3 linked regions of the Neurospora crassa OR74A genome follow. The protein of the gene in region 3 interacts with the protein of the main gene of each other region in a biochemical or structural test. Links are inferred from orthologs where the notes say so. Each region holds a gene or a part of one and is shown on either strand. Other genes may lie near its edges. The genes, in order: NCU04637, acu-6 and NCU03947.

Evidence for each region.
Region 1: the proteins of NCU03947 (region 3) and NCU04637 form a complex in vitro, tested with the Saccharomyces cerevisiae proteins (4 studies listed by BioGRID, with this or other methods). The link is inferred for Neurospora crassa OR74A from reciprocal best matches to the Saccharomyces cerevisiae genes RSP5 and RVS167.
Region 2: the proteins of NCU03947 (region 3) and acu-6 form a complex in vitro, tested with the Saccharomyces cerevisiae proteins (2 studies listed by BioGRID, with this or other methods). The link is inferred for Neurospora crassa OR74A from reciprocal best matches to the Saccharomyces cerevisiae genes RSP5 and PCK1.

The regions. Positions count from the first base shown.
Region 1 is NC_026505.1:1,375,534-1,379,638, forward strand, and holds the start of NCU04637 (BAR adaptor protein RVS167), read right to left. Parts: upstream 2,807-4,105; 5' UTR 2,091-2,806; coding exon 2,055-2,090; intron 1,897-2,054; coding exon 555-1,896; intron 478-554; coding exon 452-477; 3' UTR 1-451. Other genes in the region: NCU04636 (cysteine desulfurase), read left to right, coding at 3,415-3,685, 3,758-4,105. UniProt on the Saccharomyces cerevisiae protein: Component of a cytoskeletal structure that is required for the formation of endocytic vesicles at the plasma membrane level.
Region 2 is NC_026506.1:1,823,591-1,827,638, forward strand, and holds the start of acu-6 (phosphoenolpyruvate carboxykinase), read left to right. Parts: upstream 1-1,241; 5' UTR 1,242-1,435; coding exon 1,436-1,580; intron 1,581-1,783; coding exon 1,784-1,835; intron 1,836-1,901; coding exon 1,902-1,977; intron 1,978-2,126; coding exon 2,127-2,293; intron 2,294-2,357; coding exon 2,358-2,391; intron 2,392-2,956; coding exon 2,957-4,048.
Region 3 is NC_026506.1:2,205,872-2,209,878, reverse strand, and holds the start of NCU03947 (ubiquitin ligase), read right to left. Parts: upstream 2,806-4,007; 5' UTR 1,971-2,805; coding exon 1,939-1,970; intron 1,823-1,938; coding exon 1,800-1,822; intron 1,736-1,799; coding exon 1,697-1,735; intron 1,615-1,696; coding exon 1,509-1,614; intron 1,449-1,508; coding exon 1,315-1,448; intron 1,239-1,314; coding exon 1-1,238. UniProt on the Saccharomyces cerevisiae protein: E3 ubiquitin-protein ligase which accepts ubiquitin from an E2 ubiquitin-conjugating enzyme in the form of a thioester and then directly transfers the ubiquitin to targeted substrates.

The sequences.
Region 1 (4,105 bases), on a different chromosome or scaffold from region 3:
GAACAAACCACGACGGCGATCATGGCAAAACGCATCTAATCAAAACTTCCAGGTTTGACCCAATGCACTGTGACCTTTTCACTCCGTTGCTTCCTTCGCTCCAAAACAATACACCCGCCATTTCCCTAGACGCAAACACCCGGGACCCTCTCGCTCCACGCTCCTCGCAGGTCCTCCTTCGCGACGGAGTTTCCTCCTGCCTGACTATTCTCAACAGAGTCACCTGCCGCATATCATTGCATCCGTATAGGATCACCAAGGCCCTGCTACAGAACGTCACGGCCTGGTACGATGTAGACGAACTAGAAAGAATCCGTGTTGTGGTTGCAAATGAATAACTCGACCATGAACGGGTCCACAAAAAAGGGGTATAGGTTGAAGTCGTGCTGAGAAGTGAAGTGTGCTGAAAGCAACTCTTTGATAACTACATTTACAAGTAGCCTTGTATCCTCTAGCTGTTTAACTGGACATAGTTTCCTAGCAAAAGACCATTGTGTCAGAACATATCCAGCTCGCAACAAAGCAAGCACCCTAAGAAATAGTACAGTACGTACCTGGGAATTGACCCTGCTTTCCATGCAACTTTCCAATCCACCACTCATTCTCGTTCGCAGTCCTTGTTACTATCTCAATCACATCACCGGCACGGAAGCTCAGATCGCCCTCCGCCTGCGCCGAGTAGTCGTAAAGCGCTGTGACGGTCTCTACTTTGGGTGCCGCCGCCATGAGGGCCTTGGGCTTGGGCTTCGGCGGTGGGGGCTTGGCCTTTGCAGCCGCCGCCATGGACAACGACGAGGGTTTCGGGCTGGCAACTGGAGCGGCGTAGGAGGCGGGCGTAGCATGTAGCGTGCTCGGCTTCACCGAATACGGTGGCGGCGCATGCGCTTCTACTGTTTCCGCCTGGGTTTCCCAAGGTCGCGGTGCTGTGACGGCAGGAGCTTGTTGTTGCTGTTCCCAGGGGCGTGGGGCTGTGACTGAGGGAGCCGCCTCAGGCGGACCGGTGGAAGTGGTCGTGGAGGAGCCAGCTGTAAGTAGGCCTGCTGGCTTGTTTCCTTCGAGAGCGCCTGGACGTTGGTACTTGGGCGGTCGCTTCATACCCGTGGTCTTGAACTTGACAATGGAGAGAGCCTCAGCCCGCTCCTGGACGTCACCTCGCTTCGCGTAAAAGGCCTCCTCAATGTCCAGGGTCAGGTCGAAGTAGCCAATGTCGCAGTGCTGCATCTTCTCGTGCAAGGTGTAGAAGATGTTGAGCTGCATGTAGTAGAAGGACTGGAAAAGCGGCTGAATGAACTGGCGTTCGAGGGCAAACAGCTTGGGTAGCTCGTCCTTAAGCAGATCGTTGAAGTAATTGTACTCTTGCGTGGCCTGCTCAACTTCGTTCTCAGCCTTCCACATGGCCTTCTCGTCCTTTGCCGACCGGTCTTTCTTGTCCTGGAGCTTCTTGAGGGTGGCGCGGTGTCTGTCGTAGTCCAGCTTCTTGTGCTCGCGCTTCACGGCCGTTTTGCGAATGACCTTGATCACATCGAGGAGCTCGTTCGCTGGCCGAATAACCCTAGCCTCAATCATTTCCAACTCTGGCGCCAGTGTTTCCTGCAGGTCCTTGACAACGGCCTCGTACTCCTCGCAGGCGGCAATACCCTCATAGTTGCCATGGGGAACGAGCGAATCGGGATCGGACATGCGGCCGCTGATGGGCTTGTAGATTTCGGTCATTGCCTTTGAGAACTCGATTTGGTGTTGCAGCATGCCATTGATGGCCTCAAAGTACTTTTTGCTTTCATCGTGAAGGCGTTTGGTCTCGGTTTCGAGCTCCTGGAATCTGCGCTCCGAGTCGATGTAGACAGGGTCTTTGGTATGCTCGCCGAGGTTAAACTTTTGCTTGAATTGTTGTGGTGCCTGGTTTCTGTCGTGTTAGTGCCTGTTTGCCAACCCGAGTGATTCGGCGCTATTTCTGCCACAGACGGGGGACTCGACGGGAAGGGCGGAAGTGATGATGACGCTGTAACCGAAACTAGGGGAGGTGAGATCAACTAGGTATGCGGGGCAGAACCTACGCGGACCACGCTTTTTTGGAAGCCCCTGAAGCTCATATTCTGCTACGAAGCCGTATGATGTCTGATGTGTATTCGGTGTTTGTATGGAGATGCGCAAAGCGGGTTGCTGTTCGGAGAGGTTGAAGGCAATCGGTGGTCGAGTGCCCTCTTCAAGTCGGATCCGGATACGATGGTGATGACGCTGGGGGTGGGCAGGGGGGCGGTGCAGGTCGTTTGGCTGGTGGACGAAGTCTTGGCTGAGCGAAGCTTGCGACGGTTTGCGTGGCGCTGCTATTTGCTGAATGTTGGACACGCCGCACACAGCGACCTCGTTCCAAGATGTAGTGTGAAAAGTCTTTTTGTCTAGGCGTCTTGTGATTTCGGTTTGTTCTTGAATCCCGTCGGTCGGACCCTTGTCAGCAGTTCCGTTCGAGGTCCGACAAACTTCCTCGGGGAGGATTCGGTCTTCAACGGTAGGAGGTAAAGTAGCTAGAGGTAGCTGTCCTAGAGGTAAGATGCTACTAAATAGTTTAGCAGTGTAAATGGAATTCAAGTAGGTTGTCGGCGGTTATATGGCATGTCACTGATGGTTCAAGTTATAGTCCAACGCAGACATCCAATGCGAATGGAAACAGAATACTACCGAGGAGGTAAATAGGTACCGTCATCGGTTGTTCTGCTTTTGGTCGATGAGACCCCGGAAAGGAACGAATTGGAACGACGGGGTAGACCGACTGGGTCTGGGGCCCGCTGTAGTGTAGCTTTCATCCCAGTGGACATGCCGATTGAGAGAACAGATGGATGCCTGCCCCGGGTCAGTGCTCTTCCTTTCTGTGCAATGATGGATCAGATGCGTCCGCGGAGTCCGTTTCACAAGTGGACATTCCGCACTGTATTTGTCAAGTCAGTCGCCGCGGTGCACATCGAGCGTTCAGTTTCCGTCATGCCCGGCGGCCCATTCTCTAACATTTTGGAGCAGCGTCATTTTCGCCGTACGTACATACGCGCTTGTCCGATGTCCGAGAAAGAAACAGGTGGGGCCATCCGATGGCAGAATGACCAATCAAAGTGCCAAACCTTGTTGGTTGTCGCCCCTCATTGGCACATTCCTTTATCACCGACCCCTCCGAGGCCAAGTCCGCGTGCGGATGCCGTTTGTTTCGATTTGTTCTTTTCTGTATGGCGGAAATTCCACTCCGACCGCCGAAGAGCGGGAGGCGGCAGCTCCATCTGAATTTCTGAGTGTGTTTTGAGCCGCCCCGCCCGCTGCCTCCATCCGTTTTTGTAGGTTTGGTTACAAAACGAACTTTTTCTCCCTCATCCGCCATCACCCTCACCACCATATTCTCTTTTCCTCTCCTTCTTTCTTCTTCCTTTTACCATGTCCACCATTGCGCCGTCCGTCTTGCGACAGGCATCGCGCTTGGCCGCGGCCGCTCCTCTCCGCAGCGCGCGTGTGCTGTCGCGGGCGACTACTGCGGCTGCTGTCAAGACTGCTTCTGCTTCCAGGAGCTATGTGACCGAGACCAAGAGGAACAACGCCGACGTGCAGGCCGAGCATGCTATCAAGCTGGATCACAGGGAGATGGAGAAGCAGGGCCTCACTATAAGCGCGCAAAATGGCTCGAGCCAACACGTCAGCCCCATGGCTGGTAAGCATCATCATCACCTCCCACCTCTTCGGAGACATATTGCGCAGTCGTCCTCGTTGCTGACTCAACTAGATGTTCTCAGCAATGCTACCGTGATGGATGAGGGACAGCGTCCCATCTACCTGGATATGCAGGCCACAACCCCCATCGACCCCAGAGTGCTCGATGCCATGATGCCCTACTTCACCAACGTCTATGGCAACCCCCACTCGAGGACACATGCCTACGGCTGGGAGACTGACAAGGCCGTTGAAGAGGCGAGGAAACACATTGCTGATCTGATTGGCGCTGACCCCAAGGAAATCATCTTCACCAGCGGTGCCACCGAAAGCAACAACATGAGTATCAAGGGCGTCGCTAGGTTCTTTGGCCGGTCCGGCAAGAAGAAGCACATCATCACCAGCCAGACAGAACACAAGT
Region 2 (4,048 bases), about 380 kb from region 3:
TATAGAAATTATTGTGAAATAATGAATTTTAACGAAGTTGTACAATACAGAAGTGCGGTGTGTGTGTGTGTGTGTGCACGCACACACACCTCTTGCCAAGACTGCACAGGCGATTGAGTGTGGGAATGGTAAATTGTTAGGCGCTGCTCTGATTCCCGGTTTGGCAGGCCCAAATTTCCCTGTAGCCTCCACCGCGCTTCCCCTAACCCCTGGCCAGCAACTACCTACCTAGCTAGGTAGGTACTGCGTACATGTACATACAACCGTTGCACACAGCGGCCGTTTCCCTACACCGTCTCCGAGTCGCACATCATCTCACTATCCACTTGCACATGCTGCGTACAATCACGAATCCAACGTCGGCCTTCAACTGAAACCAAAGCACAACATGATCGAGGAATTACACTGTACCGGCATCCTTCGGAATGGTAGTCATTGCAACACGAAACAGATTGTCTCAGGCTGCGGCCAAGAACATTGACAGGATGGCCAAGGCTCAGACCAACAAACTTGCAGCCAACAACACTGGAATCTTGTGCAAGTTGAACAGACGGGGTAATAAAGTAGGAGATGCAAGACCAGTGTGAAATTCATTGACAGTTTGATACAGAGAGTTGCTCATTGAATCCGTGCCTACATCGAACAATATCCAGTGGCCTGAAAATATCAAATGGCAGCTAGAAACGAACGTCAAGGCCGATACTTAGCAAACTGGACTTCGATCATTGCCAGCTTACAAGACACTACGTACAGTAATTGTCCACGCCAGCGCACCCAGGCTTGACCACATCCAGCAATAACCGTTCAACAAACCACGTCGCTGCACCCCTGATGAAACACCACCACCATGCGTACGGTCGTGTACATAGCACGGTTCGCAGCAGCGATCTAGTGTACTATGATAATTGTGGTTGATTTGCATCGCCCTGATGATTCCCGAAGGACGACAGGGGGGCAGGGGTGGACGAGTGCCTGGCTCCGGAAAGTCTTCGTGGAAACCGTCTTCAGCCCAGACAGGAAACCGTCCGCCCATAGCGTCAAGACCGCCCTGCAACCCTCTGGCTCCGTCTGCCTCCGTCCTGCCCCGTGCTGCCCCGTGCTGCCCCGTGCTGCCCGTTAGATTCCACTTACACCCGCTCCTGTTCCGGGGTTGGAGGCGCCTTCAAAGCAAAGACGTCACGCATGATTGGGCATCGGCTACCCTTTGGTCTCCACATCTTTATATCCCATGTCTCCTTCACCTCGGGTTCTCCTGGGACATGTTCCATCTTCACCAATTGGATCCTCCTCCAGCTTACTTGTCGTTGTCGTCTCCGGCTGTGCTCCCGCATCCCCTGTCACCGTTCACCCACGAGCCCGTAACCGTTTCCACTCCCGAGTTGGCTTTCCAGTCGTCCGGCCTTTGCAAACCGCCGCGTCGAAAACAATAAGTACCATGGGCGACCCCGTCATCAGAACCGCTTCTCCCTACACTAATCCCATCATCAAATGCCCTCGACTACAACGTCTCTCGTCTGGTCCATCTTCTAGCTTCATCAACAACAACAACAGCAACAACAACAACAATAAATCATCCAACAGCAAGTACCCCAACTGCCAGCCCTCAAGCCTCGACAATGCCCACGCATACACATCAACATACATACACATTGCATATAATGAATGCCCCTCATGACCAAGTGTCGTCATATCTTCGTCTCTATCAGCCCAAAGCACACGCAGCCCCGGCTGCACAAGAGACTTTGACGAGTTCACCATGGCTAACCGCACTTGTCTCGTCTAGTGTTCAACCACGATCACGTCAACAAGACCAACCTCCACCCTGGTGGTGTCAAGTGAGCAAATCTCCCTGGCAACCCGACTCGTTGCCTGGCCAGAGGTGCTGACGATGACTTCAACAGGCCCCATGTCGAGCACACAGAACTAGAGGAGGAGCTCCATCAAAAAGCTCACATCGACTATGACAGAGTCGCTATTGTACGTCCCTCTCTCCTCATCGCCTTTTTGAGACTGCAACATTCGATATCAACATGAAGGAGCTTGCATATGCACCGCCTGTTGGCTCCAAGTTGGACTCTTTGAAAATGGCCATGCTGCTGGAAGGACGCATAACTAACCCTCCACAGATCGCCAACCCTTCAGTCGCCTCCCTCTACGAAGATGCCCTTGTCTATGAGACGGGCACTGCCATCACATCCAGCGGTGCTCTTACCGCCTACTCGGGCAAGAAGACTGGCCGTTCTCCCTCAGATAAGCGTATCGTCAAGGAGCCTTCATCAGAAAACGACATTTGGTACGTTTGAATCTGTCGCTTCTGTCTTTGACTTCAACAGACTTGCTAACGATTTCTCAAATAGGTGGGGACCTGTCAACAAGCCCATGAGCCCAGAGGTAAGAAACACTTGCACTTTTTTGACACATCCGACATGACCAGAAAAGGTGTTGGTTGGTTGGTTGGATGCACTCCACCGTTTCAAATGCATCCATTGGCGGCGGCATTGGCATTGGATGGTTGCACAAGCACACGCGACCAATTTCGCACTCGAACAGGCGATGGTGAGGCCGGCAGCCCTGCGGTGCACTTTCCACACAATGGATTTTGCCAAGCAGAGCACGGCTTCACGTCATTGTTCTTGGCGACTTTGGAAAATGACTTTTTGATGTCTTGTCGGTGTCATCGTGGAGCCGGTGTGCACCAGCAGCGCCATGTGGGGTCCCTTTGACCCGCCCCTGCTCTCGCCTGGGCTGTCGTCATGACCCGCAGCGCTTGTCCCCGAATCAGGTCACAGCCTCGGATGCATGCCCCCCCATCAATGCACCCCGCTCCCGCTCGGGAAACAACTCGGCCTTCCCCGCACCAACCGAACCCCTTTTTCTCCACTCGGGCCAACGGCGATCCCAGATCACGTGGCCACCCTCATCGTCACCACTTGCTGACTCTTACTCTTCACTACAGGTCTGGAAGATCAACCGCGAGCGTGCTGTCGACTACCTCAACACCAGGAATCGCATCTACGTCGTTGACGGTTATGCCGGCTGGGATGAGAAGTACCGCATCCGCGTCCGTGTCGTCTGCGCCCGCGCCTACCATGCTCTCTTCATGCGCAACATGCTTATCCGCCCTCCCCGTGAGGAGCTCGAGCACTTCCACCCCGACTACACCATCTACAATGCCGGCTCTTTCCCCGCCAACCGTTACACTGAGGGCATGTCCTCCTCCACCTCCGTTGCCATCAACTTTGCCGAGAAGGAGATGGTCATCCTTGGTACCGAGTACGCCGGTGAGATGAAGAAGGGTATCTTCACCGTCATGTTCTACGAGGGCCCCGTCAAGCACAACATCCTCACTCTCCACTCCTCCGCCAACGAAGGCAAGGATGGCGACGTCACTCTCTTCTTCGGTCTTTCCGGAACTGGCAAGACCACCCTCTCGGCCGACCCCAACCGCCGCCTCATTGGTGACGACGAGCACTGCTGGTCCGACCGCGGTGTCTTCAACATCGAGGGTGGCTGCTACGCCAAGACCATTGGTCTCTCCGCCGAGAAGGAACCCGATATTTTCAACGCCATCCGCTACGGTTCCGTCCTCGAGAACGTTGTCTTCAACCCCGAAACCCGCGAGGTCGACTACGGTGACGCCACCCTCACCGAGAACACCCGCTGCGCCTATCCCATCGAGTACATCCCCAACGCCAAGATCCCCTGCCTGTCGCCCAACCACCCCAAGAACATCATCCTCCTCACTTGCGACGCCCGCGGCGTGCTCCCTCCCATCTCCAAGCTCGACTCGGCCCAGACCATGTTCCACTTTATCTCCGGCTACACCTCCAAGATGGCCGGTACCGAGGACGGCATTCTTGAGCCCCAGGCGACCTTCTCTTCGTGCTTCGCCCAGCCCTTCCTGGCCCTGCACCCCATGCGCTACGCCAAGATGCTCGCCGAGAAGATCGAGAACCACAACGCCAACGCTTGGCTCCTCAACACCGGCTGGGTCGGTGCCGGCTTCGCCCAGGGCGGCAAGCGCTGCCCGCTCAAGTACACCCGCGCC
Region 3 (4,007 bases):
GTAGAATGGATTGAACATTTCGTGAGAAAGGAGGAAGAAGAACTCGCGCGACAGACCGCCGTAATCGAGGCCGTCCTCGCCGTCGAACTTGATCATCAATCGTTTCTTCAGGTCCGTCGCCGATTGCCTCGAAATCTCCGCAAACGAATCCTCGAAAATGTGCGATCTCCTGACCTTGATGTGACACTGTCCGGACATGATCCGCATAGCAGGCTGCGAACGGAAATAGATGAGCTTCCTCCTGAAGTCTCTCTTGTACTGCGGTACGTTCTGGTCGAGCGACGAAGGCAGACGAGGATCATCCCAGGTCGTTGTCTTGGTATTGTGATCCACGAAGTAGACGCGAGCCGTGTTGGTGAGCCGCATCTCCCAACCACTAGGCAGGGGACCGAGCTGGGACACCGGCTGTTGTTGAATGGTCCCGTTCGTGTTGTTCTGGCCACCGTACATGCGAATGTACTGCTGGCGTCGAGGGTCGACCCAGGTAGTAGTGCGCGTGTTGTGGTCGACAAAGTACGGCCTTCCTTCTGGGGTAAACCTCTGCTCCCAACCAGCAGGTAATTCACCGGTTCCGGGGGTTGTCGCCCCGGTATGCATCATAGTGGCAGCATTGGCGGTGGCGGCAGCTTGCTGCTGCTGTAGGGTGGGGGAATTGGCGCCAGTGCGGTCCTCGGGAAGTGTTCTGTTCTGATGCCGTTGACGCTCGACTTGAGTATTGGCTTCGGCGGTACGGTTTTCGGCCGCCCCTGTGCCAGTTGGCCGATTCCAGCTCGTGGTCCGTGAATTATGATCAACATAATATGTCCTCCCCAAATGATCCTCGCGACGTTCCCAGCCAGCTGGCAATCTTCCCATTGAATCTTCGAAGGGGCTAAGCGTGCTATGGTGCCTGGCTTGCGCCGGAACGAGGGTCGACGGGTTCGTTGGGGCTGTTCCATTTGTCCCGGGGGTCGGGGCTGTCGACGACGACGAAACAGCCAGGCTGGCGGGTCGGCTTGCCAAAGTCATGTTATTGGCGGTTCCATTAGGTCCGGACATGGCTGATGAAGGACGTTCGTTCGCTCTGTCGTTAGAAATAACCGAACTTTGAGGGGTGAGTAGTGATGGTCTGCTCGAAGATGGAGGGGGACCGAGGCGACTCATAGTTGCTGTGAGGTTAGTAGATAGGTTTATGATCAGTTTGCCGTGCACCACAAGGTTGTCGGTCGATTTCTTAAGGTCCCGCGTGAGCATCTGATCTGTGGGTGTGGTGCATGTCAGTCCCAAATCGCGCTGTCAACCTGCAAACACATGTGAATTGCAGTGAAACCTTACCTTCCGCATCGGGAGCCAATTCTATTACGTCCCCTATCCGGACATTGATGACACCGAGGAAACCTTGGTCCTTCTTTTTGAACTTCTTTTGGTCGAACACCTGGACAGCCAGAATGCTGTCCTCATTCACTTTGCTACGTTGTATTAGCCAGCTGGCCCTTGGGCTGTCAAATCTGAGTTAAGGTCGAACCTACAAATCAAAGTGTTCGTTCCAGTATGGGTTTAGGGTACGCTTGGAGACCTGGGTGGTCTTTGTCTGCTCACCGTTAATGGTAGCGACGGCGAACGGGTCGGGAAACCCTATGATGATGATGCGGTTAGCATATGCCACCTGGAAGTGGCTTAGAAGATGCATGACACCTGGCCACGGGGAGAAACATACTGAAGACATCTCGCTTGTATAGACCATCGGCGGCGATGACTAGAGGGGCATGTTAGTACACCGGTTGGTCATCGGACACATTCGTCGCAAAGGGGCTGAGTACTTGTTACGCGGAGATTGGGCTGGCTTTAATCGTGGTGGTTGTTAGCTGGCTGTTCTCTCGCTTATAATCCGCGGTCCCTGAGGGCGACGCAAAGCAGACAAGATGGGTAGATGGAGAGTCCAGTCGTGGGAGAACTTACGCCGGCAGCCCCGAGTCCCGGCTGCTGGTCATTGTTGCAGATGGAGCGCGTCAACAAACTCGCACGCGGGGCTTTAAGTTTTCGTCTCGTTTCTTGGACCAAGCAGAGGCTGGTCGCAATCGGGTCGGGTAGTCGGTCGCTCTCGCTCGTTTGGGATCGAGGACTCGCGGCTGAATGCAGGCGGGGCGGGGATGAAAGGAGGACAAGTCGACGATGGTACAAGCAGGCTGAATGATTGTTACAAAAGGGCCAACTCTCCTTGCGATGGACACTGACGTTGACGAGAACGCGCAGTCACTGGCAACGGAATGGATGCGGCAGGGTGGATGAAATTCTGTAGGTGGCAGTAGGTGGTAGATGGAAGCTAGAGGGACTCTTGAGCGCCCGTAGGTGGTGAGGCTGTGCTGCTCTTGGTAACTCGTGCGTGTGTGGCCAGCCGGCCCCCCCGCTTTGGGTATCTTACGCTGTCAGGTAGTCACGGCGGCGGAAGGCGAACTGCAAGGAAAGGCCAAGCAATCCAAGAGGCCAAGGTTGGACGGCTGTGGCTTGGTAATACTAAGTAATCTCTGTACTAGCAAGGTCGGCAAGGCAGGTCTGATACTTAGGAAACCACTTCTGTGGATCAACCAGCAGGTAGTGTAAACTCGCTCGGATGTCTAGGTTCGTCTGGTAAGGGTACCTTTAGTTAGTAGTGTCGAGGTTGAATGCTGTCGTTGTTTTGTCGCGGTGAAGCTGCTGGAAGTGGCGGGTGGGTGAGCTTGGGTTCGACGGACCAACCCCAAGAAGGTCCAGGTGAAGAGCTCAATGACCTTCACTAAGTTGCAACCGACGGATGAGCCAAAGGATGGGAGGGAAAACGACCGAGAAACCTGGACGTCTTGCGATGTTGCAAAGGTGCAATGGTGCAACGACCCAAGCCAAGAAATTGACAGTCCAAGTTGGATCTAGCATTGGTGAAGAGACAGGGGGAGGTGACAAGACATAATGGTTCAACAGCATTAACGGGAAAGTATGGCTGGCCTAGCATGCTCTGTGCGAGAAGCTTAACTTTTCAGTTAGTAGCTCAGGTATCGCATTAACGAGTGACTACTTTTAGGCCAGGAACTAGTTAGCAGAAGCCTGCAAAGAGCGAGAACTGAAGCGGAAGGTGCGCACAGTGCGGTACTTGACTTCTTCTCTTAAGCAGTTGGTCGGGTCATTCGAGTCCCAGACTCCCAGGGGGCCACATTCACTCCATGCTTGGCACGGCATCCAGATCTCGAGATCAACATCAACAACATCATTGGCACACAAAGAGCAACCTTGGTGTACATGGATCACATAGTCCCGTGTCTTTTCTTAGGAGTTGATGCCCTGTCAGGAAAATATCCCATGGATCACGGCTCAGTCATCGACACAGAGAATTAGAATAGGTAGCTATGCTGGCCTGAATGCCTTTCCATGACTAGGGGTAGGAAAGCACCTCCACCGACCGCCCCAAGCTCCGAGGTCTCTCCAGGAAACGCCAAGATTGTAGTAGAAGCTGTCTGTTCCAAAAACTCTACACAAGAGGTAGCCCAACGATCGGGGATGATGATGATCTTGCGCAGATCTACCAGATATCAAGCCACTACCGAACTTTGAAGAAACCTCCAGAGGCAGTCAATTAGGAAAGTGAACACTTCAAACCTCAACCTTGACAATTCAACGCACAGCACCTCTACATCCCATAACGACGATACACCGCACGGGGTGCAAAAAGGCGTTAGGTCGCTACTTAGCGTATCCCAGTACATGTAGTGTACCCCCGTTGCCGCCGACCGAGACGCTGCTGTTCCAACAATAGCGCATCACCGACATAAACGCCCGTCATTTCCATTTTGATACCCCTCGCGTGCGACGGAACTGCGGGGCGTTACTGCATCTCTGGATTTTCAATTGAGGTTTCTTTTTTTGTTGAGGTGCTTTTGACGATGGGGAGTTCATGGAAGCATAGAGGTACCCATCATATGTACACTAGGTTTGTACACTACACTAGTGGCTGTCATCATTGAACGAAGCGAGACAGCAAATGTGGAGCGCCCTTTGTT